Canis lupus familiaris: one gene and its partners. The protein of the gene in region 1 interacts with the protein of each later gene in a pairwise test. Links are inferred from orthologs where the notes say so. Each region holds a gene or a part of one and is shown in the gene's direction. Other genes may lie near its edges. The genes, in order: REL, NGB, EIF5A2, ATG9A, EIF4EBP1, OTUB2 and C18H11orf68.

Region 1 (3,500 bases):
TCTCATACAGATTTATACTCTCCCTATTCTCTGTTGTGTATAACCTGCAACCCTTTTTGTAAAAATTTGGTTGGTTATTAATATCATTTTGGCATTCTGCTCTAAATTTCAGATGACTTAGGATAGTTACTTCCTGACCATGCACATAACTTAATGAATCCTGTGACTACATGATGATCCTGATAAAAGGCATTCTTGCGATTTTATACTCTTCTATTTTGTTAGTACAGATTGGATGCTACTTAGGGTTATTGGAAATGTTGGGCAGGGAGGAGGACCTAGCAGGGTTTTAGTTCTATGTGACTATTTTACATTCTTTAAAAAAAAAAAAATGTACTATTTAGTCCCTGAACAACAGCTGCTGGATATTGAAGATTGCGACCTCAACGTGGTGAGATTATGTTTTCAAGTTTTCCTCCCTGATGAACATGGTAATTTGACAACGGCTCTACCTCCTGTTGTCTCTAACCCGATTTATGACAACCGTAAGTACTTTATTTTATTGTATTTGTATTGTATTGTATTTATATGTTTTTTAGTTTAATTTTTTAAAGTATTTTGGCAATTAGAGAAAGTTTGTTCATTATAAGAACAATTCAAGCATTACTGAAATAACAAGAAGACTAGATCTTCTCTGATCTCCTCCTCCAAAGATAATCTATATCCTCAGGTACATATTTCACCAGTTTCTTCATATATAAAAACACATTATCACTATCCTTGATACAATATACTTTTAGCAACTTAAATCATCACAGATCCTTTGGAAAAAAATTTTTTCTCTTAGCAATGGATCTTGAGCCTTTTCCCTTTGAGGTACCTTGTTCCCTTCAGTAGCTGCATATTTCCTTATATGGCTGTATCATCATCTTATTAAACCAAACAAGGTATTTGGTTTGTTTCCTTCTTGATTTTTTCTCTAATAAATTGTATTTCAGTAAATATCCTGTATATGCATATTTTGTGCATATGTGTCTCTAGCATAATTTTACAGTAGTATGAATGTTGGCAAATCCTGGATCAAAGGATAGGGATATTTATAGTTTTAAAAGATTATGAAATTGCCCTGAAAGTTTTTGTGCACACGTGTACATATTTGCTCTTATATATGCATCCATTCCTGGTATATGATGGCCTATTTTGCATCTAGAAGCACATAGGCCTATAATGGTAGATCAGGGTATCCTTCTCACGGAGAATTTTGAATTGCCAGGGAGAGTTACTGAAATTATATTCCTAATAAAAGGGAGCGTGAAATCACCTTGTTATAGGGTTATAGTCATGATTTAAGAGATTAATCTGGTGACAGTGTATGGATGGATTGAAAGGATGAGAATTTAGGAACAAGGAAATTTAACTAGTGGACCTATTATTGCTGAGAAATGAAGTCACAAGGCTATAGACCAGGGTGGGCTTGTCGTCAGAAAGGAAAAGGACAGGTGTGAATGATTAATGTACTTAATGTCCTTAATTTCTTTATACACTAAAGCTTTTATCTGTCCTATAAATTGTTTCCCTAGAATTCTCACCATCAAAAAAGAATAAAAATGGGACCCCTGGGTGGCTCAGCAGTTTAGCGCCTGCCTTCGGCCAAGGGCATGATCCTGGAGTCCCAGGATCAAATTCCACATCGGGCTCCCTGCATGGAGCCTGCTCCTCCCTCTGCCTATGTCTCTGCCTCTCTCTCTCTCTCTCTGTGTCTCATGAATAAATAAATAGAATCTTTTTTTTAAAAAAAGAATAAAAAATATTACTAAGACAGAAACTCATTAAAAAATCCTTTTTATTTAGGTGCTCCTAATACTGCAGAATTAAGGATTTGTCGTGTAAACAAGAACTGTGGAAGTGTCCGAGGTGGTGATGAAATATTTCTACTATGTGATAAAGTTCAGAAAGGTATTTATTTATTTGTTTCATTGAATTTAGAATATGCAGATCTTCTTTGGCTTACAGTGGGGCTATACCATGATAAATTCACTGTAAATTGAAAATAATCTTAAATTGAAAATGCAGTTAATACACGTAACCTACCAAACGTCGTAGTTCAGCTTAGTGTACCTCAAACATGCCCAGAAAACACATTAGCCTATAGTTGGGCAAAATGACCTAACACAAAGCCTACTTATAATAAAGTATTGACTATCTCATGTAATTTATTGAAAACTGTACTGAAAGTGAAAATCAGAACAGTTGTGAGTATATCAGTGGTTTACCGTCCTGATCATGTAGCTGACGTGGCTTGCTGCCACTGCCCAGCATCTTCCGAATGTCATGCTGCCTATCACTAATCCAGGAAAAGATCAAAATCTGAAGTACGGTTTCTACTGACTGCATATCACTTTCACACCATCATAAAGTCAAAAAATTGTCAAGTTGAACCATCATCAGCTGGGAGCCATCTGTATTTTAGATTAATAGATGGATTTTGTTTTCCATTGCTGTTCCTTTGCTTTTATATTCATTAGATGACATAGAAGTTCGGTTCGTGTTGAATGATTGGGAAGCAAAAGGTATATTTTCGCAAGCTGATGTACACCGTCAAGTAGCCATTGTTTTTAAGACTCCACCATATTGCAGAGCTATAACAGAACCAGTGACAGTAAAAATGCAGTTGCGGAGACCTTCTGACCAGGAAGTTAGTGAATCAATGGATTTTAGATATCTGCCAGATGAAAAAGGTATGAGTTCTTGGTGGTAAGGTTTTATGTATTTCTTAAAGTTCTCCTAATACCATTTTCTTGTAAGATACGTTTGCATACTGTTAGGTTTATTTATAGTTCACGTTTTATTTCCAGAAAATTTTTCGGTGATTTTTTTTTTTTAACCTATTGATATTTATGCTCTTTGTATTCCTGTCTTTGGAAAGGAATCTAGAATAATTTCAGAGTATCTGAACTGTTTACCAAAATTTATTTTATATTTGAGGTTCTATTTTTGTCCTTATTGTGCCCTTTTTATAGATGGAAAGCTTGCCATTCAGAATGGTCTCCATTTTGGTTTCGTCCTTACCTGCCCTTATTGCGTTAGTTGACATTGTTAACTTATAGGTGTTATGAGAAAACAAGATGAGTATTAGACCCTTTACTACCTACTTGGGACACATTCTGCAACACTTAATAAATCCAAAGCATATACATTTGTTTAAAGCACTTTATGGGAATAAAACACCTGTTTTTTAAAGGAGAAGCCACATAAACCTATGATGATCTACATGTTTTCCTCGTTTCTTTTTAACCAGATACTTATGGCAATAAAGCAAAGAAACAAAAAACAACTCTACTTTTCCAGAAACTGTGGCAAGATTGTGGTAAGAGTATTTGATTTGTATTTAAATAGATTTTGGGTTTTTTGCTTTATTCAATTTTCCAAATTTTAGCTGATGTTTTTTTAAATTGCATTTAATAATGGAAAAACTTTATCACAGCAGTTAATTTTCCTGAAAGACCTAGACCTGGTACCCTAGTATCAACTGGAGAAGGAAGATTCATCAAAAAAGGTAT
Region 2 (3,926 bases), on another chromosome or scaffold:
TGGCTCAGGTCATGATCTCAGGGTCGTGGGGTCCAGCCAGGTGTGGGGCTCCTTGCTCAGCGGGGAGTCTGCTTCTCTCCCTTTCCTTCTGCCCCTGTCCTACCTCCCTAAAAAAGAGAAACAGAAAGGTTTAGGCCTGACACGGGGTCAACTTCACATCCTGAATGGCAAGCATGAGATTCCACTACCTGGACTTCAATTTAAAGAACAAAATGGTACTTCTATTTAAAATTTTTAAAAAGCCTATTGAAAACCATGGAATAGTAGAATGCTGGAACTTGACTCCCTTGAAGTCCAGGTATTCAATGGGTCACAGCTGCTGTGCGCAAGACCCGGGGCCTGGCCAGGCCTCTAGAGCCGGGGCCAGACCTGGAGCTCACAGATTGCTAAAGATGCTGCCTAGGGAAACCCAGGCCTGGCTGGAAATGGCTGCAGTCCTGCCGCTGTCCCTAAGGCTGGGAGTCCCAGTGGGCCCAGCGAGCCGGGATGGAGGTGGAGGTGGTGGGCAGCCTGCCGGGCCTCGTCAGAGCCAGAGCAGGGCGGGGGCCTCCCCAGCCTCAGCCGCTCACACGGGGCCCCACGTCGGGGCGGAAGGAGGGAGACCCGGTGCCAAGGGGGCGCAGGCTCTAATGCCTCCAGGTAGTCCTCGAGGGAAGGCTGCGGAGAGGTGGCCCGTGCAGAGCCTCCCCAACGCCGTCGCCATCGGGTGCGATCGGTGCCCCAAGCAGCAAGCGGTGGAATCGTCACCGGGTCCTGGACGAGAAACGGGCCCGGAGAGGCTCGACGCTCTCTGTTGAGCTCTGAAGCCCAGGCGTTTCCGGGCCACCGGGTCGTCCCCGGCCACAGCCGGTTGCCCGGGGCTGAGGGCCTTGACGGACGGAGGGGGCGGGGGCCGCGGCGGCTTTAAAGCGCCGGGTCGGGCGGCGCGGGGCGGGGCGCTGTGGGAGCCGCGGGGCGCAGGGCGCAGGGCGCAGGGCGCGGCGGCCGGAGCGGGGTCCCGGCGGCGCGGGCGGGCGCGGGCGGGCGCGGGGGGCCGCGGGGGGCGCCGAGGGGCCCGCGTCGCCGCCGACATGGCGCGGCACGTGCGGTGACGGTGGCCGCGCCCCCAGGGCGTCCGCGGGCGAGCATGGAGCGCCCCGAGCCCGAGCTGATCCGGCAGAGCTGGCGGGCGGTGCGCCGCAGCCCCCTGGAGCACGGCACCGTGCTGTTCGCCAGGTGAGGGCCCGCGCGCCCCGGGCGGGGAGGGGGCGGCGGGCGAGCCCCGGCCAGAAGGGCGCGAGCGGGGCTTCCCGGCGGCGGGTCCCGGCCATCTCCGGGCGCCCTCGGCGCGCGCCGCGCCCCTCCCCGCTCCGCTCGGCTCGGCTCCTGAGCGGGCCCCCGGGTGGTGCCTGAGGGCGCCCCGAGGGCTCCTGCGCCGCGGCCAGGCCCGGGGCGCGCCCTTGGAGGACAGGGCCGGGCTGGGGCCGGGCTGGGGCCGGGCTGGGGCCGGGCTGGGACCCGAGAACCGCGAGACGCGGCCGGGGCCAGGGGGTGCGCGGGCCCCAGGGGGAAAGGAACAGCGGCCCCTCTGCCATCACCAAGGGCACGGCTCGGACACCGTGGTTTCTCCGGAGCTTTGGCCCCCAAAGCCAGCCCAGAACTTCTGAGGAGGCTGTTTTGCAAAACCGCCTCCCCAAACAAAGGGGGAATCGATTAGTGGGGTTACCCGAAAGCCCCATGAGCCCTCTCAGATGTGAATGATGAGCTCCCACTTGGCGCCTCCCAGCTTTCCCTAAGCCCGCTGTTGTCTCGGGCCCCCTCTGTGCTCCTGCTACTTCCAAGCTGTGTGACCGGAGGCAAGGGACTTACACTCTCTGGGCTTCTGCTTCCTCCTCTGTAAGAGTTGGGGTAACAGTTATACCTGCTGCTGAGGACTGTGAGGGATACAGAAGTTAACCACATGTAAAGTATTCAGTGCCCAGGAGTTCTTTTCTTTAAAGATTTTATTTATTTATTAGAATACACAGAGAGGAGAGAGAGAGAGAGGCAGAGGGAGAAGCAGGCTCCATGCAGGGAGCCTGACGCGGGACTCGATCCTGGGACTCTGGGATCACGCCCGGAGCTGAAGGTGGTGCCAAACCGCTGAGCCCCTGGGGCTGCCCTAAGGAGTTCTTAATAGTGCTGTTATCATCACTGGCCGAGCCTCTGCAGACATGATGAGACTAGGAGGTTCTGACCCAAGAGTGGAAGGGAGACAGACAGAGACAGACACAGAGAGAGAAGAGGAAAGAAAGGAGAGAAGGGCTTTCCTATTTGAGGACCCCTCCCTGTCCCAGCCCCCTGACCTGTTTATGGAGGGCTGCTCTATGCCAGGTCCCGGGAGAGGATGACCCTCGGAAGCAGTGGAAGAGGTGAGAAAGGGTCACCAGCAAAGCTGGCAAAGGGGTCAGTGCCCAGTTGGAGGGGGTGTTCTAGCTCCCAGCTGAATCCCTGCCTCCCCACCCCCACCCCAGCCTGCTGGGCAGCCAGGGTGCGCGGGGCTGGCCGGGGCCTGGGGGGACCAACACCCCAGGGCTGACACGTGGGTCTCCCCCGACAGGCTGTTTGACCTGGAGCCTGACCTGCTGCCCCTCTTCCAGTACAACTGCCGCCAGTTCTCCAGCCCGGAGGACTGCCTGTCCTCCCCCGAGTTCCTGGACCACATCAGGAAGGTGAGGAGGAGGCGGGGTGGCCTCAGATCCAGCAGGACGCCTTCCCAGGAGAGAGTGAGGGACTCGGGCTCCTCAGGAGAGTGACTTCTGCCCTGGCCTGGTCTCATTCCCCTCTGCCGCTCCCCCAGGCCAGAGATGTCTGCTCCTTGCCCTATGTGCTGGGCTGGGCAGAGCCTGGGGCACCGTGTGTGCAGCCAGCTGGTCCCCAGCTCCCAGAGATGGTACTGGCACTGACCCACTAGGGGCCATCTGCCTCTGACGCCCAGGCTGGGGTTCCCTAAGAGGCTCATGACTCTCACAGTGCCTCAGTTTCTCCTTGTCTGGGGCAGACAGCACCATCCCGCTGTCGTGTTTAGGGCTTTGAGACCCTAGAGGAGAGGAGCTGCCATCACAGTCTAACATCAGTAGTTTGGCCACATGTTGAGTGCCTACTGTATGTACACACAGATTGCCTTGCATTTCTTTTCTTTTTTTTAAAAGATTTTATTTTATTTTATTTTTTTAAGTAATCTCTACACCCAACATGGGGCTTGAACTTGCAACCCCGAGGTCAAGAATCTCACACTCCACCAACCGAGCCAGCCAGATGCCCCATGACCTTGCATTTCTGATCCTGGCAAACCGAGGGTCCTGGTGACCTCTCTTACTCCTGGTTGGATCCCCAGATTCTGGACTGTGGTTATGAGCAGGTGGGATTGTTCTGGCCTCTCTGATTCACGGCTGCGTTGGCCTTGGCAGGTGATGCTCGTGATTGACACTGCTGTGACCAATGTAGAGGACCTGTCCTCGCTGGAGGAGTACCTTGCTGGCCTGGGCAAGAAGCATCGTGCAGTGGGTGTGAAGCTCAGCTCCTTCTCGGTGGGTAAAGGGGCTCTTGCTCTCTCTGGAGCGCCTCACCTGAGGCCCCAACTCTCCCAGTCCTCCCTGTTCATCTGTTCTTTCTCCCTATTCCCATCCCCTCAGATGACTAGGACCAGGCGGGGTGGATGGTGGGGGGGCTGCATCTGTTACTTCTGTGCTGTGTGACCCCTGACACTGCCTTGACGACTCTGAGCCTCCAATTTTTCTTCCCTGGTTTGGCTTCTCTTAGAACCGTGGAAAGTTAAAGAGCTTCTGGGATTGGCCAGTCTTCTCAGTTTCCTGTTACCGTGTATAAAACCATCCCAAGCAAACGATTCCTGATTTCTCTGGGTTCGGTGGGACAGTGCTTTAGCTCCACACGAAGGGGCTGGTGTC
Region 3 (4,025 bases), on another chromosome or scaffold:
TGCGGACCCGTCCGGGCGCCCGGGGGTGGGGGGGCGATTCCTGCCAGAACCTCATCACCGGTCACCCAGCCCCGCCCTCGGGCTCGGCCTCGAGGCAGCGCCCACCTGCGCCTGCGGTTGCAGCTCCACGTTCCCGCCACCACTACGCAGGGCAGCCCCGTTGAAGTCGCGTGCGTCGCGCGACCTGAGGCCGTCACGTGACAACCGCCAGGCCCCTGAAGGGCCGGGGCCGCCACGCGCGCGCTCGGGCTCACCGTTGACTCCGACGGGGACCCCGGGCGCCCCGAACCCAGAAGTTCGCAGGCCCTGAGAAAGTGCTCACTTCACGCCGGAAGTGCACTAATCCGCAGCACGTGGGGTTGCCAGGGCGCGCTTCACGTGACGGGGCGGGGCCTCGGGACCCGCGTGGCCAATGGTGGCGCGGGGGGCGGGGCCTGTGACGCGCCGGGACCTATCCCGGAAGTGGGGCTGCGGCGGGGGCGGGCGGGGGCGGGGGCGGGGAGGCCGGGGTGTGGAAAGTGTGGCGGCCCCGCCCCGTCTCCTGGAACCGCCGGGGCCGCCGCCGCCGCAGCTGTAGGGGCCCGCGCCGGTGCGCAGGCGACAGGCTCGCTGTCCCCGGCTGGAAGGTGAGGACGTGGGCGAAGCCGGAGGGGCCGGGACCCCCGAGCGAGGCCGGGCCGGAGCAGGCTGAGCGAGGGAAGGAGGAAGGATGGATGGGGCAGCCGGGGCGCAGGCCCACGCGGGCCGGGCCGGGCCGGGCGGGCCGGGGATGCCGGCAGGACGGAGGGCGGAGCGCGAGCCGGCCGGGGGCCAGGTGCGGCCGCCCAGGTCCCGTTATCCCCATCGTGCGCGGGGACGCGCGGCCTGGGCTGGGCCCCCCGTCGCCGGCTGCCCCTGCGCTGGGACGGCGGGGCCGGGCGGGCTGCCCCCGGGGCGTCTAGCCCCACCGCCGCCCCCACCCCCGCCCCCGCCCCCGCCCCCGCCGAGCCCTCCTGCCACTTCCCTCCTCCGGGTGCAAAAGTTTATAGAGGCCCGAGTTAGAAAGTGCCCACTATTCCCGGGTGGGTGCTCCGCGAATGGGGGCGGGGGCGGGGTGGGGACTGGACCCGCGATGTCTGGCCCGCAGCCTGTCCGAAATGTGATGTCTCCCTGCCTTGCGTGCCCGTTGTTAAAAAAAAAAAGCGAACACAAACTTTTTTTTTTTTTTTTTTTTGCATAGTTTCCCTCCCCCCCCCCGCCCCCCGCCCCCGAGGAAGCTACGGTCGCCCCAGCCCACCATGGCGGACGAGATCGACTTCACCACTGGAGATGCCGGGGCTTCCAGCACTTACCCTATGCAGTGCTCGGCCCTGCGCAAAAACGGCTTCGTGGTTCTCAAAGGACGACCATGCAAAATAGTGGAAATGTCAACTTCCAAGACCGGAAAGCACGGTCACGCCAAGGTAAGTCAGTGCCCTTCCCCGGTCTCCCTTTGCCTTGCTGTTTTGATCATTTTGTATTCCAGTAGGGAACGTGAGATTTCCATATTTATAACTCGGCAATAATGACTTTTTTTTTTTTTTTTTTTTTTTCTTGACCACGATTTCTGAGTGACCAGCCATGGCTTTTTGAATACTGAAAGGTAGCATTTCCTTGTTTGGGCCCTTAATAATGTTTCGTTAACCGGTAATGGAAACTTTTTCCTGAATCCCAGTGATTTAGAATACATGTTCTGTTTATGGATGAGAAAACCTGTTCTAACATAACTTCATTTCTCTTACACAGTCTTATAACTGAATTCCTAGACTAGGAATTGGGTCTTGATAGGTCGTGAAGCTGTTTCGTTGTTCGCTGCTTCTCAATTCTCTGACCCCTGCTTTTTTTTTTTTTTTTTTTTTTTTTTTTTTTAAGAAAATAAAATTAGATGACCTTGGAAGGAGAAAGAATCTGTCATAATCAGCTTTGGTATTGTGCTCTTGTGTGTGTAATGAGTGATATACTTGGCAAAGATTAAACAGGTTTCCTGTTCTCCCTCCTCTGTTAGGTTCACCTTGTCGGAATTGATATTTTCACGGGCAAAAAATATGAAGATATTTGCCCGTCTACTCACAACATGGATGTTCCAAATATTAAGAGAAACGATTATCAAGTGAGTACTAGCTTCCTTTAAAATGGTGTTTTTTGTTTCTTAAAGTTGTAAATGCATTCTACTATCAACAGGAATTCAACAAAACCTGGTAGTAGTTTTGTAGGTTTTTCTAACCAGGTACTAAGCACCACCACCTATCTTAGAAATTGAAAATAGTGGTATTTAACACTTGTATCTTATCTAGAATTATAGCTGATTTGCTTTTTATTTTGACATTTTTGCATTCTTAAAAAGTTGAACATGTCTTATTATTTCTCAGACCAAGGGACTGCTTATTGTGACTAAGTTCAGTGTTCAGTGAAACTACTAAGCTTTCGTTGTAAAATATTTCCAATTCAGATAACTCCCCCCTGGATATTTTATTTCTTTTCACTTGTCAAGCCTAAGACTTTTAAGAAATCATTGGAATTCATGTTCCCCCAATCAAGTTTGTATATTATTGAATGTGAGTCAGAATTTGATATTCTTAAATAGGGAAGTGAGTTGAAAGTCTTTAATGTAAGGGATAAAGTATACCACCATGGCATATGGTAAAGAAAATACAAAACTATCTAATTGTTTTATTTACATTCAGTGACCATGCTGTGACCTTTTGTTAAATTATAGGTTTAGACTTCCAACTTGTAGTTCCAATTATACATTTGGATAAGTCATGTTTAATGATAGCATTTTGTTGTTTCGGAGTATTGGTGGTAACCAAACCATTGACCTCATAGGATGTGGGACCTCAGATTAATTATAACTAAAGTCTTTATTGTAAGTCTTCAATCTCATCGTCAAGCATACCGTATATAAAACTCTTTTTTGTTCATTTTATGGAGTCAGAAATGCAAGTGTGACACTTAGATTTTCTTCATTCATTTTAAACTGATTTCTTGCTGTACCTTTTATTCTATTATATACATGTTACCATCAACTGCAGTTAACATATGATTTCCTTTTATTTTGTACACATGTAAAAATATTTTTATGTAGTTTTTTTTTTAAGATTTTATTTATTCATGAGAGACACACACAGAGAGGCAGAGACACAGGCTCCCTGCGTGGAGCCTGATAAGGGACTCAATCCCTGGACCTGGGATCATGCCCTGAGCTGAAGGCAGATGCTCAACTGCTGAGCCACCCAGCCGTCCCTATTTTTACATAGTTTATTCTACTAAGCAGTTGTATATTTTCACTTTCCCACTTGTAAATGTTTTCTAGGTTGCTTTGGAGTCTTTCTAGAAATTTGCATTGTCTTATTATAATAATAGCATATTGAGTTTTTTTAATCAAACAATTTGGGTTTAGATCTGCTCCTGCCACTTTCTAGCTGGATGACCTTGGACAAATTATACAATCTCTCTGAGCCTCAATCTTCCATCTACAAAGGAAGGATAATGGGAGGATTAAGGAGAAAATGTATCCCATAATTACCTTATCGGTAGATATGTACCAAAAAGTAATTCTTTTCTGCTCCCCCCCCTTTGCCTTCATAAAAATTCCATCTAACCATTCCCTTGTACTTGGAACACCTAATTTAGACATGGCTTATAGTGGGTGCTCAATAAACATTTGTTAAATGCATGTGGGATTATTCAGTGAAGTAAGGATAGTGTAGCTAAGGCTAGGTATAGACTTTTCTTTTACCAAAAAATGGATTTCTGTTTTCATCCTTAACATGTGAATGCTTTGAATGTTCAATATTTATTATATATATATTAATATGTACTTAATACAGAATGCTTTTGCTTTTGGGCATTTCAAAAAGATAGTATCAGTAATTCATATGATTACTACTATGATCAAATTAACCAGTCATTGTTTGGAGTTCGAGATCTAACAAAAAGGAAAAATTTGGTTTGGGTTTTATTTGGGGATACAGCAGGGTCCAGACTAGGGTGAGGGGAACAAGGTA
Region 4 (3,373 bases), on another chromosome or scaffold:
AGGGTGGATGCCAGGACAGCCAGCTCCGGGAGCAGCGTGTGGGAAGGACAGCTGCAGAGCCTGGTGCTGTCGGAGTACGCATCCACCGAGATGAGCCTGCACGCCCTCTATATGCACCAGGTGAGTGGGCAGCAAGGGGCAGAGCCACAGAGTCAAGCTGGCCACTGACAAATAGAATAGAGGGTTCTAGGCAAGGAAAAGCAAGACATGGGTCTGGAACCCTTGTCTGTTATTCACCTACTCTAAGCTCCATTCCTGCAGATACCCTTTTGCCATCCATTTTTAGGCAAGCTTATTGTCATCCGGGGCCTTGACACATTTGCTATTTCCCTTGCCAAGAATCCACTTCCCTAGATATGCTTATGGCTCCCTCCTTTAATCACCTGTCTGTTCTTAACTGTTCCATGAGACGTCTCTGGCCACCCTGACCAAAAGAGTCTCCCTTGGCCACCCCCGACTCTCCCTGCTTTTATTTTTCTCTGTAGCATTTATCTGATCTATTGCATTTTCCCTCTTTTATTTTATTGTCTCTGATCCCCCCGCACCACCTCTGCCTCCAGCATACAAGCCAAACAAGGGCTGAGATTTTTGTCTGTTGTTCAGTGCTATCTTCCTGGCACCTTGAAAGAGTGCCTGGCACTTAGATGTACCACCAACTTGTTCTTGACTCAAATGACTAGGCAAAACGAGTGCCATCACAACTTATGCAACAGGTTCGTTCCAGGGATCTGCTGAGAGTTTAACCTATAAGATGTCGTATGTGTCTTACACACTGTTAATAAGATAGTTACTCTGGGTCAGTGATTCTGGGCGCGGTGCCAGAAATGGGAACATTTGGAACAGTGTAGTGGGGGCAGCTGTTTCAGATATCCTAGCCTTAACTAATGAGTGTCACCCTCCACTCCCCACACTTCTCAGCTCCATAAACAGCAAGCCCAGGCCGAGCCTGAGCGGCATGTGTGGCATCGCCGGGAGAGCGATGAGAGTGGGGAGAGCGCCCCTGAAGAGGGGGGAGAGGGCTCCCGGGCCTCCCAACCTATCCCCCGCTCTGCCAGCTATCCCTGTGCTGCACCCCGGCCTGGAGCACCCGAGACCACCGCCCTGCAGGGGGGCTTCCAGAGGCGCTATGGGGGTATCACAGGTATCCAACGGGGGTACAGCAGGGTACAGTGGCTCTTTGGGGGGGCCTCTTGGGGAGGAAAGAAGTCAGAGGGATCAAGCCCAAAGAGACTAACCCTTACCCCCACCTTGAACAGCCCCAGAACCTTGCTCCACATTTGTGTTCGTTCTAAGACCATGTTTACTTGTGTCTCTAGATCCTGGCACGGTACCCCGGGCTCCCTCTCACTTCTCCCGGCTGCCCCTTGGAGGGTGGGCTGAAGATGGGCAGTCAGCATCAAGGCACCCAGAGCCGGTGCCCGAGGAGGGCTCGGAGGATGAGCTTCCCCCTCAGGTGCACAAGGTAAGGGCCCCAGGACTGGAGAACAGCTACCAGATGTAGTAACTTCCAGGCTGAGATCAAAGTCTCCTGTGAAAGAAGGCAGGCCTCTCGTATGGAGGTACTGTCCCTTCCCCTCCAAAATACACTCCCATTTTTTGCCTCCCCTACTCTGGAATCCAGGGCTTAATTTTCCCCTTCACTTTCCTCCCCTGGAATCAAGCTTTCCCCTTCATTTATCTCCAAGGTTTTGTGTGTGTGTGTGTGTGTGTGTGTGTGTGTGTGTTTTTGTTTTGCTTTTTTGCAGGAAGGTGGTAAGCAGATAGCTGAAGATGGTCTCCACTACTGACCCTTTTCTCTCTACAGGTATAGACAAGGCTGAGGAGGGTCCCTATGTCCCAGGATGGAGGCCACGGTTGCCCTGCCATCCCATCTGCCCGCCATGGAGGGCTCCTCTGACTGTTGCCTGGCTCCACGTGTGTGGTGTTTGTGTGTCTGTGCCTGGCCAAGGGAGGTGCCAACGCTGGGCTTGCCGCAGCCCCAGGAGAGAAATTGGGGGCCTAGGAACCAAGGCACACAGGACTCTAGCCTCATCCCCAGGACCCCCCTTGGCTCAGAGTGTGGTGCTAGAAACTGGTCCCCGGTCCAGCCCCAGTACTGCCACCTTTGCACCCACCCCTGCAAGTCTCCAGAGGACTGCCCACCACAGAAGCTGCCAAGCAGGGAGAACCTGTGCCAACTGTGGAGTGGGGAGGTTGGGCCCGGACCCTCAACCTCTGCAGCCTCCCTCCCCCACCCCGAACAGATGAGTAGCTCAGGCTGTGGCCCTTACCTCACCCCCAGTTCTCTCCCAGTGCTACAGCCTGCTCACCTCTCCTGCTTCCTGCACATGACAGGCATGTATGCCGCTTACTCTGTTCTGTTCGCTTGCTCCCGTTCTGTTCAGCTTTTGCTTCGCACTGGTGTGGAGACCCTAGCTCCCAGCTCCTCTCATGCTACCTTTTGACACTACGAAGGAAGGTTTCTAAAAGGCAGGAGCAGGATGGAAGTTCTTTGCTGCCCTCTCCAAGTTTGAAGCAGGGCCCCTGAGAGACTGAGGCCGTCCTGGCCTCCATTGCTGCTTATTGTACCCCTTAACCGCCTGCACAAAGGACGGACTGGGCTGGTTGTGCCCTCGGCTGTCTACCTCCCAGCAAGAGAGCTCTGGGCTGCCTCCCGCTGTTCCCCCCGGGGCTGGAGGGGCGACAGGAGGCCTGCGCCCGAGGCTGTGAGCTGCCGCATTGCATGCTGGGACCCAGCTCCTACTCTCCGCCCCACCCCTCGCCCGCCCGGGCCGCTGCGGGCGTGGAACGCGGCGCTGCCCGGGCTCACAGCGGAAGGCGTAGGAACTGTGTACAGCTTGATAACCCTTAATAAAAAAGGGACTTTGACCGGGCTTGTTGCGTCGCGCGGCTGGGATCCCGGGAAGGAGCGGAGTGGGGTGCGGGCGAGCCCCCTGCTGGTGGGGGCCCGGCCGGGCGGTGGGAAGGTGGGCCGACGCCGTCACTCGGATACACCGGGCGGGCCAGCGAGCAGGACCACCTCCCAGCGCCGCGCCGCGGAGGTCAAGGTCTCGGGTCGGACGTGCGGTCAGATTTCGCGCTCTGAGCACGTGACCGGGCCGGCCCCGCCCCTGTATTTTGCCTTTTCCGCGTGCACGCTCTCCCCGCGCCCCGCCCCCTCGGCGAGGCTGGCCAATGGGGGCCCCGGTAGGGGCTGGGGCCGCCCCGTGGGCGGGGCTGCCGCGCCGGCGCCGCGCCGGCCGCACGCTCCACATTCCTTGGGCCCGGACGCGGCCGGAGGGTCCCGGGCGGCGAGCGGGGGGCGGACGGACGCGCGAGGAGGGCGTGCGTGCCCTGCGTGAGTGCGCGGCGGCGGCGCGTGCGCGGGGCAGGG
Region 5 (3,991 bases), on another chromosome or scaffold:
GGGGAAACAAACAAACAAATACCACCAACAAAACCCTAATCATGTCACTCCCCAACTTAAGAGATCTCTGATATCTCCTACCCTCCTAGGACAAAGTCTGAACACTTTGGCATGATTTAAAAGACCCTTCACAAAAAACAAAACAAAACAAAAAAAACCTTCACAATCAGACCCCAATTTATCCTTTAAACTGTTCTTCGTGGGGCACCTGGGAGGCTCCATGGTTGAGCCTTTGCCTTAGGCTCAGGTCCTGGGCTGAGTCCCAAATTGGGTTGTTGTAGAGGGAGAGCCTGCTTCTCTCTGTGTGTCTCTCATAAATAAATAAATAAAATCTAAAAATAAATAAATAAATAAACTGTCCTCCTGTCTCCTCTCCCCTTGTATCAAGTAGCTGCAATGACAGACCTGGTCTCTCACCCCACGGGCTTCTCTGCCTTCCTGGTATTTTTCAGTCTCCACTTGGAGAGCTCCTTGAAGCCTCATTCATTGGCCGGTTCGATGAGTGCCCTACTAAGTGTCAGGCGGCCTGTTGGCCCCGGTTCCCAGCTCCCAGGGCCGCAAGGAACCTCCCTGGCCCACTCTTCCCCGCCCCCCCCCCCCCCCCCCCCCCCCCCCCCCGGCGTCCAGCCCCTCCCAGCGCCCGGGTGGGCTGGAGCTGTAGCCTGCAAACGAGCTGGGCGGCCCGTCCGCGCTCCTCCCACACCCTCCCCCACGCCAAGGAACGCCCCCTCTGCGTTACTTCTGCGCCCCGCGAAGGCTCAAAAAAAAAAAAAAAAGCCCTGAGGGGTGAAGGAGCACTCAACCCCCACGTTCTCACGGCAGGAACCGAAGCGCGGAACACGGAGCGCTGAAGGAGACCGTCCTGCCCATACAGGACCCTCCTGTATGCAAGGGTCCCCGCACAGCTCTGACAGCACCCGGCCGCGAGCCGTTAACCCACACAAGCCCCCGGCTCCATCGCCGCCGCCAGCCGGACCGGACGGACTCCCGAGCAGGAGCGGCGGGCCGTCGGGGGGCGGCGCCCGCAGCCGCGCGGAGGAGACCGCAGACCGCGAGAGGGTGCCTCAGGGCCGGGGTGCGGAAGAACGCACGAACCGGCAGCCCGGCCGCCGCGGCGCCGCTGGGACTACAAATCCCGGGGGGCGCCGCGCCGCGGGGGCGGAAGGGGCGGGGCGAGGTGGGCGGGGCCGGGGCGGCCGTCGGGCCAGGCTCGGGCTGCGGGCGCGGCGCGCGGGAGACCATGTCCGGAGGCAGCAGCTGCAGCCAGACCCCGAGCCGGGCCATCCCCGCCACTCGCCGGGTGGTCCTCGGCGACGGCGTGCAGCTGCCGCCCGGGGACTACAGCACCACCCCCGGCGGCACGCTCTTCAGCACCACCCCGGGAGGTAGGCGCGGGCTCCGAGAGCGGGCGGTGCGGGGGGCTGACTGAGCGGAGCGGGAGGGGTCGGGAGCCGCCAGTTGGACGGGGCGACCGAGCTAAGGGGCGCGGTGACTGCAATAAGGCGCATCAGGGAGGCAGCGAGGGTCGCGGAGGTGGCCACCAGGAGCGAGCAGATGGTCGCTGCCCATTGCCTACCCTCTGGGTGCGTCCCCCCGAGCCCGGACTGCAAACTGCTCCATGAGTTTCCTCCTCCTGGGAGAGACAACCGAGTACCCCTACGGAAACATCCGCACGCTTGCAGAACGACCACATGCCAGGGTGTGCTGCCCCTTGTGGGTTTGGGGGCGTTCTGAGGCAGAAGAGCGTGGGGTCAGAGTGGCCTGAGAGCAAGGGGAGGCCTGGCCTGGGGCTTTTAGGGGATGGGGACGGGCGTTCTCTGTCGGGGTAAACGACTCTTGAAGAATCCTTTTTCCTTCCCGGGGCACCCCCAGTTTTCCACTGGGCCAGCACCCTCTGACGGGGGATTTGGGCTGACGGCGCCCGTCTGCTCCAGCTGCGCCTCACCTGCACCTGAGCCAGGTTGCCGGCGTACGCGTGTGCTATCTCCGCAGAGGGACCCGGAGCCGCGGGCAGGGCTGTGCAGAAAAACACGTTCTTCGGTCCGGGGGGGAGGGGGAACCGTGTGACCTCCCTAAGAGTGTATGAGGAAGAGGAAGCTGAGCTGGCACGGGTGGGGGCCAGCCTTGGGCTGCCCTCGGGAGCCAGGCATTCCCTCCCAGCCCGGGAGCTCCGGCGCACAGGCGCTGATGAAACCTGCCCGCCCGTTTGCATGATGAAATCCTCGTGGCTCACCACTTCCCTGTGATCCTCGTCCCTCTGCCCTCACCCGCTGTGTCCTTCTCCCCTCCACCCTCCTCCACCGCTCCGGCCCAGACTGCACCAAAACGCCGCCGCAGAGTGGCGCTCCGTTGAGAGACACGGGTGCAAGTGGTCGCAGGCGGGGCGGCAGCCTCGTCCCTTGCCAGCGTCTGGGAGCCACATGCTTATTTTCTCAGGCAGCAGTCCCACCACCAGCAAACACTGACAGATCCGAGGTCTCCCGCCGGTTGATCCAAAACATACAAGGTTAGAACTGTCAGGGATTATGGATGTACTTGTTTCACAGAGGCTCCAAACTTGAAAACACATGTCCCTTATCCAACGTCACATGGTTTATCAGGTTGAACAGGAAATAGTATCCAAGCATAAAGGGGTAAATGCTCTCTCTTTTATTAAAAATGATCAAAGGGAAAGTTCTCAGTGAGCCTTTGCTCCACTCTTGACTCAAATTCTCCATCCCTGCGAAACGTCTTTTGTGACCCCTTTGGTGGGCGTTCTCTGTCATGTTGTGCCTACCAGGATCTGTCCTGGATGATTTTGGATTTCTGTTAAGTGAGGGTGTGAATCTCCACTTGATCTGTCCAGAGTGGGCACTGAGGCAGGCCTGAAGGCTCAGGTGCTCTTTTTTGCACTCTTCGTTGCTGCATGGGGACAGGTCAGTTGGAAGCCATGGCCAGTGTTACTGTTTACAGGGAACTCTGATCCACTTCTCATGCTGGACTGGGAAATGGAGGGTTGTTTTGTTTTGTTTGTTTTTGTTTTGGTAAACAACAACAAATCTCCCTTGGAAGGTCTTTAGTTGGAAAGGGTCTCCTGGGTCAGAGCATAACTTTGTTTCTGAGGCCAACTGGAAGGGAGCTAGCAGTGCCAGGAGCCTAAAGGCAGCTTTCTTCTCTGGGGTGTTCAGCAGGACAGGCACAGCTCACAGTCCATAACTTGGAAAAACACTTCTTGCTAATGTCAGTAAGTCTGGTCTGCCTCAGTGAGCCAAGGCTTGCAGTCTTCCTCCAAAGCCCAACTTTACTCTACCCTCAAAGAAGCTTAACCTAAGGTCATTTCTGGCACCCTTTTGTTCTGGTCTAGATGTTATTTTCTCATTCCTCAATGGACATATGAATTACCTGGGGACCTCATTTAAATACAGCCTTTGGTTCTGTAGGTTCTGGGTTTGGGCCTGAGATTCTACATTTCTAACCAGCTCCCAGTGATTGATCTAAGTACCACACTGAATACTCAGGACTATGACTTCCCTCACCTTTTCAGACCTCTGGGGTCTGGCAAAAAGTGATGCTTCTAACCAGGTAAACTCTTGAGGTTGGGTTGGCATCAGCCTTCAGACCAGGGTCCAGAAAGAGTCTGTGCAGGTGCCAATAGTAGCTTATTTGCAAGTGCCAGGAGCTATCAGAGTGTCCACAGGTCACTTTTGCTGAGAATGGCACTGTGGTGTTCATCCCCAGAGGAACAGAAACAGCAGTTGATTTGATTCGTAAGACGCCAGTTTACTTCTCTTGGTCATTAATCTTTCACAAGCTAATCCACTGATCTGGTTAGAAGTCTGGAGAACTTTAGATAAATTTGTTAAAAGGAGTGTTGTATATGAATATTTGAGCCTGTGGAGTCTTAAAAATGATCAATGACACAATAGACCAGCAGAATCGTTGTTTTTGTTTTTGTTTTGTTTTGTTTTATTGGAGTTCAATTTGCCAACATATAGCATAACACCCAGCGCTC
Region 6 (3,500 bases), on another chromosome or scaffold:
GGAGCTGTGCCGTTAGGGGCCTGCCATGGAGGCAGATAGGGCTGAGCCAGCACTGACAAGAGCAAGGGCCATTGGACCAGGTGTGAAAGGAGGTCAGTGCTGGCCAAGGTTTAACGGCTGTGGGACAGGGAGGCCTGACTTGTGTTAGCCCATCCTGTGGTTTAAATACTCCTGTCACAATTGGTTTTTCAAGCCACCATCATGGGGGTCACTGAGCAGGGATCAGGGAAGAGATAAACATATGCTACAGCCCAGTCATCTCTCCACCATCACACATGACAGACATATGTAACCTCAAGAGCAAAGATAATTAGGAAACGGAGTTTTAAATATTTAGCTTTGTGTTGTTGTATAATTCAAGTAATGGTGTTTAACCCCTGACTGGCAAAATCTTGAAAACTGAACAATTAGCTCTTGTGAATAGGTAGAGGGCACTGGTTGAGGGGACAGGGTGCTAAGGAGTGAAACACAGACGGGGAGTAAGTGGCTGTGGGTGGGAGGGAGGCTGAGAAGGGAGAGGAAATTGGGGAGCTAGGCAGGGGCCCTCCCTTGGATGTTTGTGCTGAGGAGCTGTGTCCTGAGGGAGGAGACTGTGCTAGGTCACTCCAGAGGTCCTTGTGGAGAAGGGACTGGGAGCATGGGAAGGCTGAGCATGGCCCTGGCCAGAAATGATGATCACATGGCAAGAACCACGGGGAAAAGGAGGAACAGAGTTCAGAAACCTTTGAAAGGTAGAATCAACGTCTGGGAGGGGATAGTGATTTCCTCAACCTCCTAATCTATGAACTGGGTGTAACACCCCCTTCCTGGGATTGTATACACTGGGGAGGAATAGAAAAGTCCGTGTGTGATCCACAGGGAAGTGCTCTGAAAGGGAGAGCAGTCACCTGGTAGTGGCACAAACCTCAGGTGTGGGGGGCAGTGGGTGTGAGCGGGAGGACACTGACTGTCACAGCAGTGCTCCATCATCATTTCTCCATGAGCCATCAGTCTTCCTTTCCCCTTCAGGTTCAAAGAACGTGTCCTGCAGACCCCAAATGACCTCCTGGCTGCTGGTTTTGAGGAGCACAAGTTCCGAAACTTCTTTAATGCTGTAAGTTAACCTGGGCAGGGTGGCTGAGGGTCCAGGTCCTTTCATGCTGGCAGAGCAGACAGGAATGGGCACTGGCTAGAGCCCCTCACAGCCCATGGTTCTGCTGTTATGCCCTTTTTGTTCCTCCCAGCTGGGGGAAGGACGGACAGCTGCTTCCAGCACGTGGGGACAGGACCCCAGGGCCCTGCCCTCCTATTGGGAAGGGGCACCTCCTTTGGGGCAGCTTTCAGGCTGGAAACATCCCCTAGTTTCCTTCATCCATTTCCTCTCCACCCTGCTCCCCTCCCTTATGAAGCCGGTGGGGTTGGAGGATTCAGTTCTGAATCCCAACAACCAGTGATGGAAGGAGACCCTAAAGTGCTGTGCCCTAGACAGGATTCTGGGCTAAGGTACACATTGCAGAGCATTTCTAACCCTCCTACTTAGCTTTGGTCCCAGATATTTATTTCGGTACCTCAATTAGAGCACTTAAAAGGGAAATACACATGGAGGGGAGGGTCCTGTGGAGAGAGTCCCATGGGAGAGGGGAGAGAAGGGGAGGGGAAGGAGGGGAGGGAGGGGAGGGAAGGTCTTGCCTGTGCCTCCCTCGACTGACACCTGGCGGAGTGCAGTTTTACAGTGTGGTAGAGCTGGTAGAGAAGGATGGCTCAGTGTCCAGCCTGCTGAAGGTGTTCAACGACCAGAGCTCCTCGGACCAAATCGTGCAGTTTTTGCGCCTGCTCACCTCAGCCTTCATCAAGAACCGCGCAGACTTCTTCCGACACTTCATTGATGAGGAGATGGACATCAAAGACTTCTGTACTCATGTAGGTCCTCAGAGTCTCAAGCTTTGGGGACTTAGCTCCCAGCCCTGGGATCTGCTGTATCAATACCCACCTCCTGGGATTGTACACACAGGGGAGGATGGTGTGTGGGCCGTGGGAAGGTGCCAGGAAAGCCCCTCTTCTCTCAGGAGACTTTAACACCATCATCCCTTGCCAGGGAAGTTGAGGTCACGTCTGCATTTGTAATCTGAAGAATAAGATTAGCAAGCCAGAAACTGATCCTACTTGAGCTGCCTGAACTGTGTGGCTGTGGGTGTACATCCATCTGAGAAATGAGGGCCCTGTTTACAAAACTGCAGAGTAGCAGCCCCAGAATCACATCTGTCTTAAGATGTGTTTTATGATGTATGGTAATTATCTGAAACGGAGCTGCCAACATTTAAACCTTGGGTAGCTTTCCTATCTGGATTTCTCTCAGAAGATCCAGCTCTCAGGGCTTTATTCCTGCATGGCAACAAACAGCAGGAGCAGAGTAGCAGCACCCTGGTTATGTGGGACACGCATGCCAGCCTGCCACCATCTCTCTGTTGCCTCTTCAGCTCTCGGACTCACTCATTCGCCTAGCCCTCTGAAATCCCTTTTTGATGTCCTCTTCCATTCTGGGATTCTCTGGTTCTGTGCATTAATAAGTCCAAGCTCAAATATTCCTGCCCCCCCACCCCCGTTTTTGAAAGTAGTGTTGTTCTCTTCTTACATATAGTTAGAGTCGGGAATCAAAGATATCTCGAATCGAGCCTTGCAGTTCTACTGTGTTTCTGGTTGCCCTTCCTCACAGGGTTTCAGTTTCCTCCTCTAGAAAGGGGGATGGAAGTATCTACCTAATGAGTTGTTGTGAAGACTATTTCCCAACATAGATGCTTTAAAAGACCCAGGGCCATGAAAGCCAGAGCTGGGATTCTCCTGTGTCCTCTGCTAGGCCTCCTCCCTAAACTGATTTTTTTTTATTCTGGCCTTGGCAGGAAGTGGAGCCCATGGCCATGGAGTGTGACCACATCCAGATCACAGCCCTGTCTCAGGCACTGAACATCGCCCTGCAGGTGGAGTATGTGGATGAGATGGACACAGCGCTGAACCACCACGTGTTCCCCGAGGCTGCCACCCCTTCCGTTTACCTGCTCTATAAAACATCCCACTACAACATCCTTTATGCAGCCGATAAACGTTGATTAATTTTAGGCCATGCAGTGGAGCCTGTCACCTAACGGGACTGCATTCTAAATGGAACATTCCGGCTTTTCAATTTTTTAAGCAACTTAAACTATAGTTAGAAAATGTACAGCCTTTTGGGCAGAGTCACTGGGAATGAGGCCTACCCATTATGGACTGTGGTAATTTGAGGATCAAATGCTTTCTAACTCAGGGCTACAAAGCCAGAACCCCTGGCTCTGCCCCCAGTTCCCTGAGGCCCTGGGCAAGTCACCTCCCCTCTCTGGGCCTGTTTCTTCATCTGGAAAAAGTATTTGCCAGTGCTCACGTTCTACTGTAAAAAATAGGCCCTCTGGTTTCCTTTCACCAGGGGCAGAACCTCTGTGGGGGAAGAAAAGCTCAAGGTCAGCTGTCGTCTGTGACTTACCTGTTCTACA
Region 7 (4,199 bases), on another chromosome or scaffold:
GTCCCCATCCATGTGGTTGTCTTCCCCGTCTCCCTGCATGTCAGGCACAGAGGCCACCAGATCCTTTAAAAAGTCAAACTGCTGCTCCAGCTCAATGCACTGTTTCCTGGAAGAGGTGAGGAGAAGATGGAATTCAGCTGGGGCCCAGATGTCTGGGTTCTCAGCAAGGGACAGCAGGAGATATCAGGAGATGGATATCAGGAGGATAGAGCCTGGAGAACCTCCATCCCATCTCCACTACGGAACCTGCTCGCCTTGCTACACCACCCAACCCCTCCTCCCCCAGTTCAAACCCACCCATATTCGAGGCGTTGCTGGTCTCCCAGCAGCCTCCCACCTCTCCTAAGTGTGTGAACTCCTGGGGCAAGGTTCCACTGGGCCCAACCAGCTCCCAGGCCACTCACAGGTGGGATGTGGTCATGGTCTTGGCGTTTCGGGACTGGGTCACCTGGCAAGCCTTTTTCAACAGCGACTCTAGGAACAGCTCGAGCGCCCGGGCTGAGGAGCGTCAAGGAGAACACGGGTGGGGGATCCCCAACCTAAACAAGGCGACCCCGGGCTCCCTCCCTACCCCAGGTCCCTCAACCTGGCCAGGCCCCGACAGGATACAGATGATGACAGGCACTGCCGCCGCCACCTTCCCAATCTCTTCGTCAGTTTGCATGATCTTCTTGATCCGCGCCTGGGGAGGGGGCAGAAAACTCGGACCCTGTCGCCTCCATCCCCGAAAGGGGTGCTGGGGGCTAACGAGAGAGGTTCTCCCGGGAGAGAGGGCTGGGGACCCGGACGCCGGGAGGGCACGGAAGGGGGCGGGGCGTTCGTACCCCGAACACCACGGTGCGCCCGCCCCCCCACGCAACCTCCCCAAGCCCGGCTCGGGCCCGAGCCTCCAAAGAGCCCGGCCCGCTCCTCGGGGGCCTGGCCACGTGCTCACCGGCGGGAACCGCGCGTTATACTTTTTCTTCTTGCTCGGCATCTCAGGGCCTCTCTCGCCACGCCGGGCCCAGCGCCGCCGCCCGCAGCTTCCCGGCCCCCGGGCCTGCTCGCCACCCGCCTGCCGCGGTTCCCCCGGGTCCTGGTGCCGCCTGCTCCGCCCCCGCCGCTCCCCACGCGGTCCTAGCGCCGCCGGTCAGGACGCCGCTCGCAGGGCCGGAGCGCCCTCCCCTTGCGGCCTCCCGGGCGGTGCGCGTCGATCCGGGACCGGAGCGCCGCTCCCGCCGGCCCCCAAGCCTAGGAAAGCGAACGTTAGCCCCGCCCCCGAGGCCCCGCCCCGCCCCGCCCCGGTTCCCCTGGCGGCCCCGCCCCCGGGGTCAGTCCCTCCCCTCGCAGGCCCCGCCCCGCGGCGCGGGCGACAGGCCCGGCGGCCCCGCCCCGTGCTGCGCTTGTCTATAAAGTTGTTGTTGAGGCGGCGGGCGCTAAGATGGCGGCGGCGGCAGCCGTGGCGGGGGCGGGGCGCGGCGGGGGCGGCGGCGGCGGCGGCGGCGGCGCGGAGCCCCGGCAGGAGCGTAGCCGGGCGCGGGGCTGGGCCGGCGCCGAGCGCGGCGAAGGCCGGAGGTGACGGCGGGGCTGCGGGAGGGGGCAGGGCTGGGCGGGGGCGCGGCTCGGGCTGTGGGCGCTAATGGCGGCGGGCGCGGCGGGCCCGAGGCTGGCGCTCTCGTAGGCTCTACCAAGCCTGGGTTCCAGTCCGGCTGTCGCCCCGTTGGCCTTGGACTGGTCACGGCTCTTTCCGGGCATCAATGTGCTCGTGCTCAAGTAGGCCCGACAGCGCCAGCCCGGGGGTCTGGTCCTGCTGGGCCTGCCTCGATGCTACGCGAAAGTGCGCTTCTCTGCCTCCCTCCGCTGAATCCTGCGATCGGGATGCCTGCCAGTTCCGGGCAGGGCCGGGAGGTGTAGCTGGGCTGGTTGCTCCCACACCTGAATTCACATTTCGGCCCCTGTCACTCATTGCAGGTGTGACCTTGGGTGGGTCACTTCTCCCTGAGCTTCGATTTTCTGGTCTGTAAATTGGGGAGAGTGGTAATAGCATTAGTAATAACCTTTATGCAGCGCTTATTCCACCTTAGGCGTTTAATGCTCCATAGCTCTACGGGACAGGAACAGCTTTTGTCCACTGTAAAGATGAGGCAGCTGAGGCACCAGACCTTAAGTCTTGCCTAAGGCCACGGAGTTTAAGCCCATTGGCTGCACCAGCTAGGGCCCAGCACGTTGTACGTCTGTCCTGGACCTGCTCTAACTCTGTTCCTTCATGGCAGGATGGAGCCAGGTGAAGAGATGGAGGAGGAAGACTCTCCAGGCGGCCGCGAGGATGGCTTCACTGCTGAGCACCTGGCCGCAGAGGCCATGGCAGCTGACATGGACCCCTGGCTGGTGTTTGATGCTCGCACCACACCTGCCACCGAGCTGGATGCCTGGTTGGCCAAGTACCCACCATCCCAAGTTACTCGCTATGGGGACCCTGGCTCACCCAACTCTGAGCCCGTGGGCTGGATTGCAGCATATGGGCAAGGCTATGTCCCCAACTCGGGCGATGTGCAGGGCCTGCAGGCAGCCTGGGAGGCTCTGCAGACCAGCGGGCGGCCCATCACACCGAGTACCCTGCGCCAACTGGCTATCACCCATCATGTGCTGTCTGGCAAGTGGCTGATACACCTGGCACCTGGCTTTAAGCTGGACCACGCCTGGGCTGGCATTGCTCGGGCTGTGGTCGAGGGCCAGCTTCAGGTGGCCAAGGTGAGCCCACGGGCCAGGGAGGGTGGGCGCCAGGTCATCTGTGTTTACACCGATGACTTCACGGACCGTTTAGGTGTACTGGAGGCAGATGCAGCCATCCGTGCGGCAGGCATTAAGTGCCTGCTCACCTACAAACCTGACGTCTACACCTACTTGGGCATCTACCGGGCCAACCGCTGGCACCTCTGCCCCACTCTCTATGAGAGTCGTTTTCAGCTGGGGGGCAGTACCCGTGGCTCCCGTGTGCTGGATCGCGCCAACAATGTGGAACTGACCTAGTGTGGCCAAGTTGGGGGAGACCACGTTCTGCCCCCCTCCCACTCAGCTCCCTGCTACGGTTGGATCCTCCTGTCTTCCTCCTCTTTGTCCCAAGGAGTTTGAGCCCCCTAGCTCTGAGGACCAGGTCAATCGGAAACTGCCTGCATCTTTGGTCCCTTTGAACCTTTGCCCTCTGTTCAGGGCTGACTCAAGTTCCCACCAGCTGGAGGCTCTGGCTCCCTGAGGGCCGGACCCTCAGCCTCTCTTTTCACTGCTGCTCCCTTCTGTCATCCAGGACCATGGGCTGGGTACAGATTCCCAGGAGGAGAGCCTTCCTTAGCCACCCTCCTCCCCAGGTGTACCTCCCTCTCCTGCATCCTTTCCTTCTCCTCCCTCACAAGAGAGAAAACTAGTGCTTCCAGTCCCTCTTGGAGCCTTCCTAGTCCAGGGGGCAAAGGCCCTGCAGGCCTAAGCATGCTATTTTGGGGGTAGGGTGGGGGAAGGGTGATTGTACCCACTCAGCCCTTGGCAGAGAGAGGGGATGCCAGGGCCATGGACATGGGTCCTGCCCCTCCCTGCCACCTCATACAGCCTGCACCACCTTCCTTCCTTCCCTGCACCACCTTCCTTCCTTCACTACCTTGACATGTGCCTGCTCCTGGCATTTCAATAAAACCCAGTTTGGGTCTGTGTCTTGAGTGTTTTTTAAAATACTGTGTTGGTGGTTACCTGCTTTGGTCTCTGGAAAGAAGCTGGGCCAGGAAAGCCTGCTTCTCTGCCCTACATGGGTACGCCTAACTGCCTCCTATAATAAGATTCACCTCACTGCCAAGGCTGGGAGCCTCTCTGAGAGCCTCTGCAAAGCTAGTCCTGCTTCTCCTCCATCCCAAGAATCAGAATCGGTTTCTCAGTGATTTCTCATAAATCTAGGAGCTTGAACCAGCAAAGTCTGAGGCTACCGCGCATAGGGTGTATTTGCTTGGTCCTGGCATTTCTAGGTTAGGGCATATGGTCTGGTGAGTAGAGGATGGGCTAGGTTTCAACAGCCTAGGTTGGACATCTTTATGTGGTGAATGATGTGTACAGCCATAAGGAACTCACATCTAAGAACTCACTTCTCCCACCCTGACTGTCACGGGCCACTGGACAGTTTGCAAGGCACTTCCATATGTATTATTTAAGTCTCATGACCTATTCAGAAGAAGATATTG

Evidence for each region.
Region 2: the proteins of REL (region 1) and NGB interact in binary tests that used the Homo sapiens proteins (3 or more experiments, as listed by UniProt). The two-hybrid records come from large-scale screens. The link is inferred for Canis lupus familiaris from reciprocal best matches to the Homo sapiens genes REL and NGB.
Region 3: the proteins of REL (region 1) and EIF5A2 interact in binary tests that used the Homo sapiens proteins (3 or more experiments, as listed by UniProt). The two-hybrid records come from large-scale screens. The link is inferred for Canis lupus familiaris from reciprocal best matches to the Homo sapiens genes REL and EIF5A2.
Region 4: the proteins of REL (region 1) and ATG9A interact in binary tests that used the Homo sapiens proteins (3 or more experiments, as listed by UniProt). The two-hybrid records come from large-scale screens. The link is inferred for Canis lupus familiaris from reciprocal best matches to the Homo sapiens genes REL and ATG9A.
Region 5: the proteins of REL (region 1) and EIF4EBP1 interact in binary tests that used the Homo sapiens proteins (3 or more experiments, as listed by UniProt). The two-hybrid records come from large-scale screens. The link is inferred for Canis lupus familiaris from reciprocal best matches to the Homo sapiens genes REL and EIF4EBP1.
Region 6: the proteins of REL (region 1) and OTUB2 interact in binary tests that used the Homo sapiens proteins (3 or more experiments, as listed by UniProt). The two-hybrid records come from large-scale screens. The link is inferred for Canis lupus familiaris from reciprocal best matches to the Homo sapiens genes REL and OTUB2.
Region 7: the proteins of REL (region 1) and C18H11orf68 interact in binary tests that used the Homo sapiens proteins (3 or more experiments, as listed by UniProt). The two-hybrid records come from large-scale screens. The link is inferred for Canis lupus familiaris from reciprocal best matches to the Homo sapiens genes REL and C11orf68.

What each region holds. Positions count from the first base shown.
Region 1 is NC_049231.1:62,305,008-62,308,507, forward strand, and holds part of REL (proto-oncogene c-Rel), read left to right. Parts: intron 1-344; coding exon 345-485; intron 486-1,791; coding exon 1,792-1,896; intron 1,897-2,465; coding exon 2,466-2,678; intron 2,679-3,238; coding exon 3,239-3,307; intron 3,308-3,424; coding exon 3,425-3,496; intron 3,497-3,500. UniProt on the Homo sapiens protein: Proto-oncogene that may play a role in differentiation and lymphopoiesis.
Region 2 is NC_049229.1:50,400,725-50,404,650, reverse strand, and holds the start of NGB (neuroglobin), read left to right. Parts: upstream 1-1,126; coding exon 1,127-1,215; intron 1,216-2,578; coding exon 2,579-2,690; intron 2,691-3,428; coding exon 3,429-3,548; intron 3,549-3,926. UniProt on the Homo sapiens protein: Monomeric globin with a bis-histidyl six-coordinate heme-iron atom through which it can bind dioxygen, carbon monoxide and nitric oxide.
Region 3 is NC_049255.1:35,577,921-35,581,945, reverse strand, and holds the start of EIF5A2 (eukaryotic translation initiation factor 5A-2), read left to right. Parts: upstream 1-1,225; 5' UTR 1,226-1,277; coding exon 1,278-1,442; intron 1,443-2,023; coding exon 2,024-2,128; intron 2,129-4,025. UniProt on the Homo sapiens protein: Translation factor that promotes translation elongation and termination, particularly upon ribosome stalling at specific amino acid sequence contexts.
Region 4 is NC_049258.1:25,643,392-25,646,764, reverse strand, and holds the end of ATG9A (autophagy-related protein 9A), read left to right. Parts: intron 1-2; coding exon 3-120; intron 121-560; coding exon of another isoform or gene 561-644; exon of another isoform or gene 645-821; intron 822-918; coding exon 919-1,141; intron 1,142-1,316; coding exon 1,317-1,462; intron 1,463-1,804; coding exon 1,805-1,810; 3' UTR 1,811-2,873; downstream 2,874-3,373. UniProt on the Homo sapiens protein: Phospholipid scramblase involved in autophagy by mediating autophagosomal membrane expansion. Cycles between the preautophagosomal structure/phagophore assembly site (PAS) and the cytoplasmic vesicle pool and supplies membrane for the growing autophagosome.
Region 5 is NC_049237.1:28,145,290-28,149,280, reverse strand, and holds the start of EIF4EBP1 (eukaryotic translation initiation factor 4E-binding protein 1), read left to right. Parts: upstream 1-1,191; 5' UTR 1,192-1,240; coding exon 1,241-1,385; intron 1,386-3,921; exon of another isoform or gene 3,922-3,991. UniProt on the Homo sapiens protein: Repressor of translation initiation that regulates EIF4E activity by preventing its assembly into the eIF4F complex: hypophosphorylated form competes with EIF4G1/EIF4G3 and strongly binds to EIF4E, leading to repress translation.
Region 6 is NC_049229.1:63,438,388-63,441,887, forward strand, and holds the end of OTUB2 (ubiquitin thioesterase OTUB2), read left to right. Parts: intron 1-1,008; coding exon 1,009-1,093; intron 1,094-1,704; coding exon 1,705-1,899; intron 1,900-2,876; coding exon 2,877-3,083; 3' UTR 3,084-3,136; downstream 3,137-3,500. UniProt on the Homo sapiens protein: Hydrolase that can remove conjugated ubiquitin from proteins in vitro and may therefore play an important regulatory role at the level of protein turnover by preventing degradation.
Region 7 is NC_049239.1:51,853,655-51,857,853, forward strand, and holds C18H11orf68 (UPF0696 protein C11orf68 homolog), read left to right. Parts: upstream 1-1,420; coding exon 1,421-1,554; intron 1,555-2,252; coding exon 2,253-3,009; 3' UTR 3,010-3,699; downstream 3,700-4,199. Other genes in the region: DRAP1 (dr1-associated corepressor), read right to left, coding at 1-106, 405-498, 610-682, 935-976.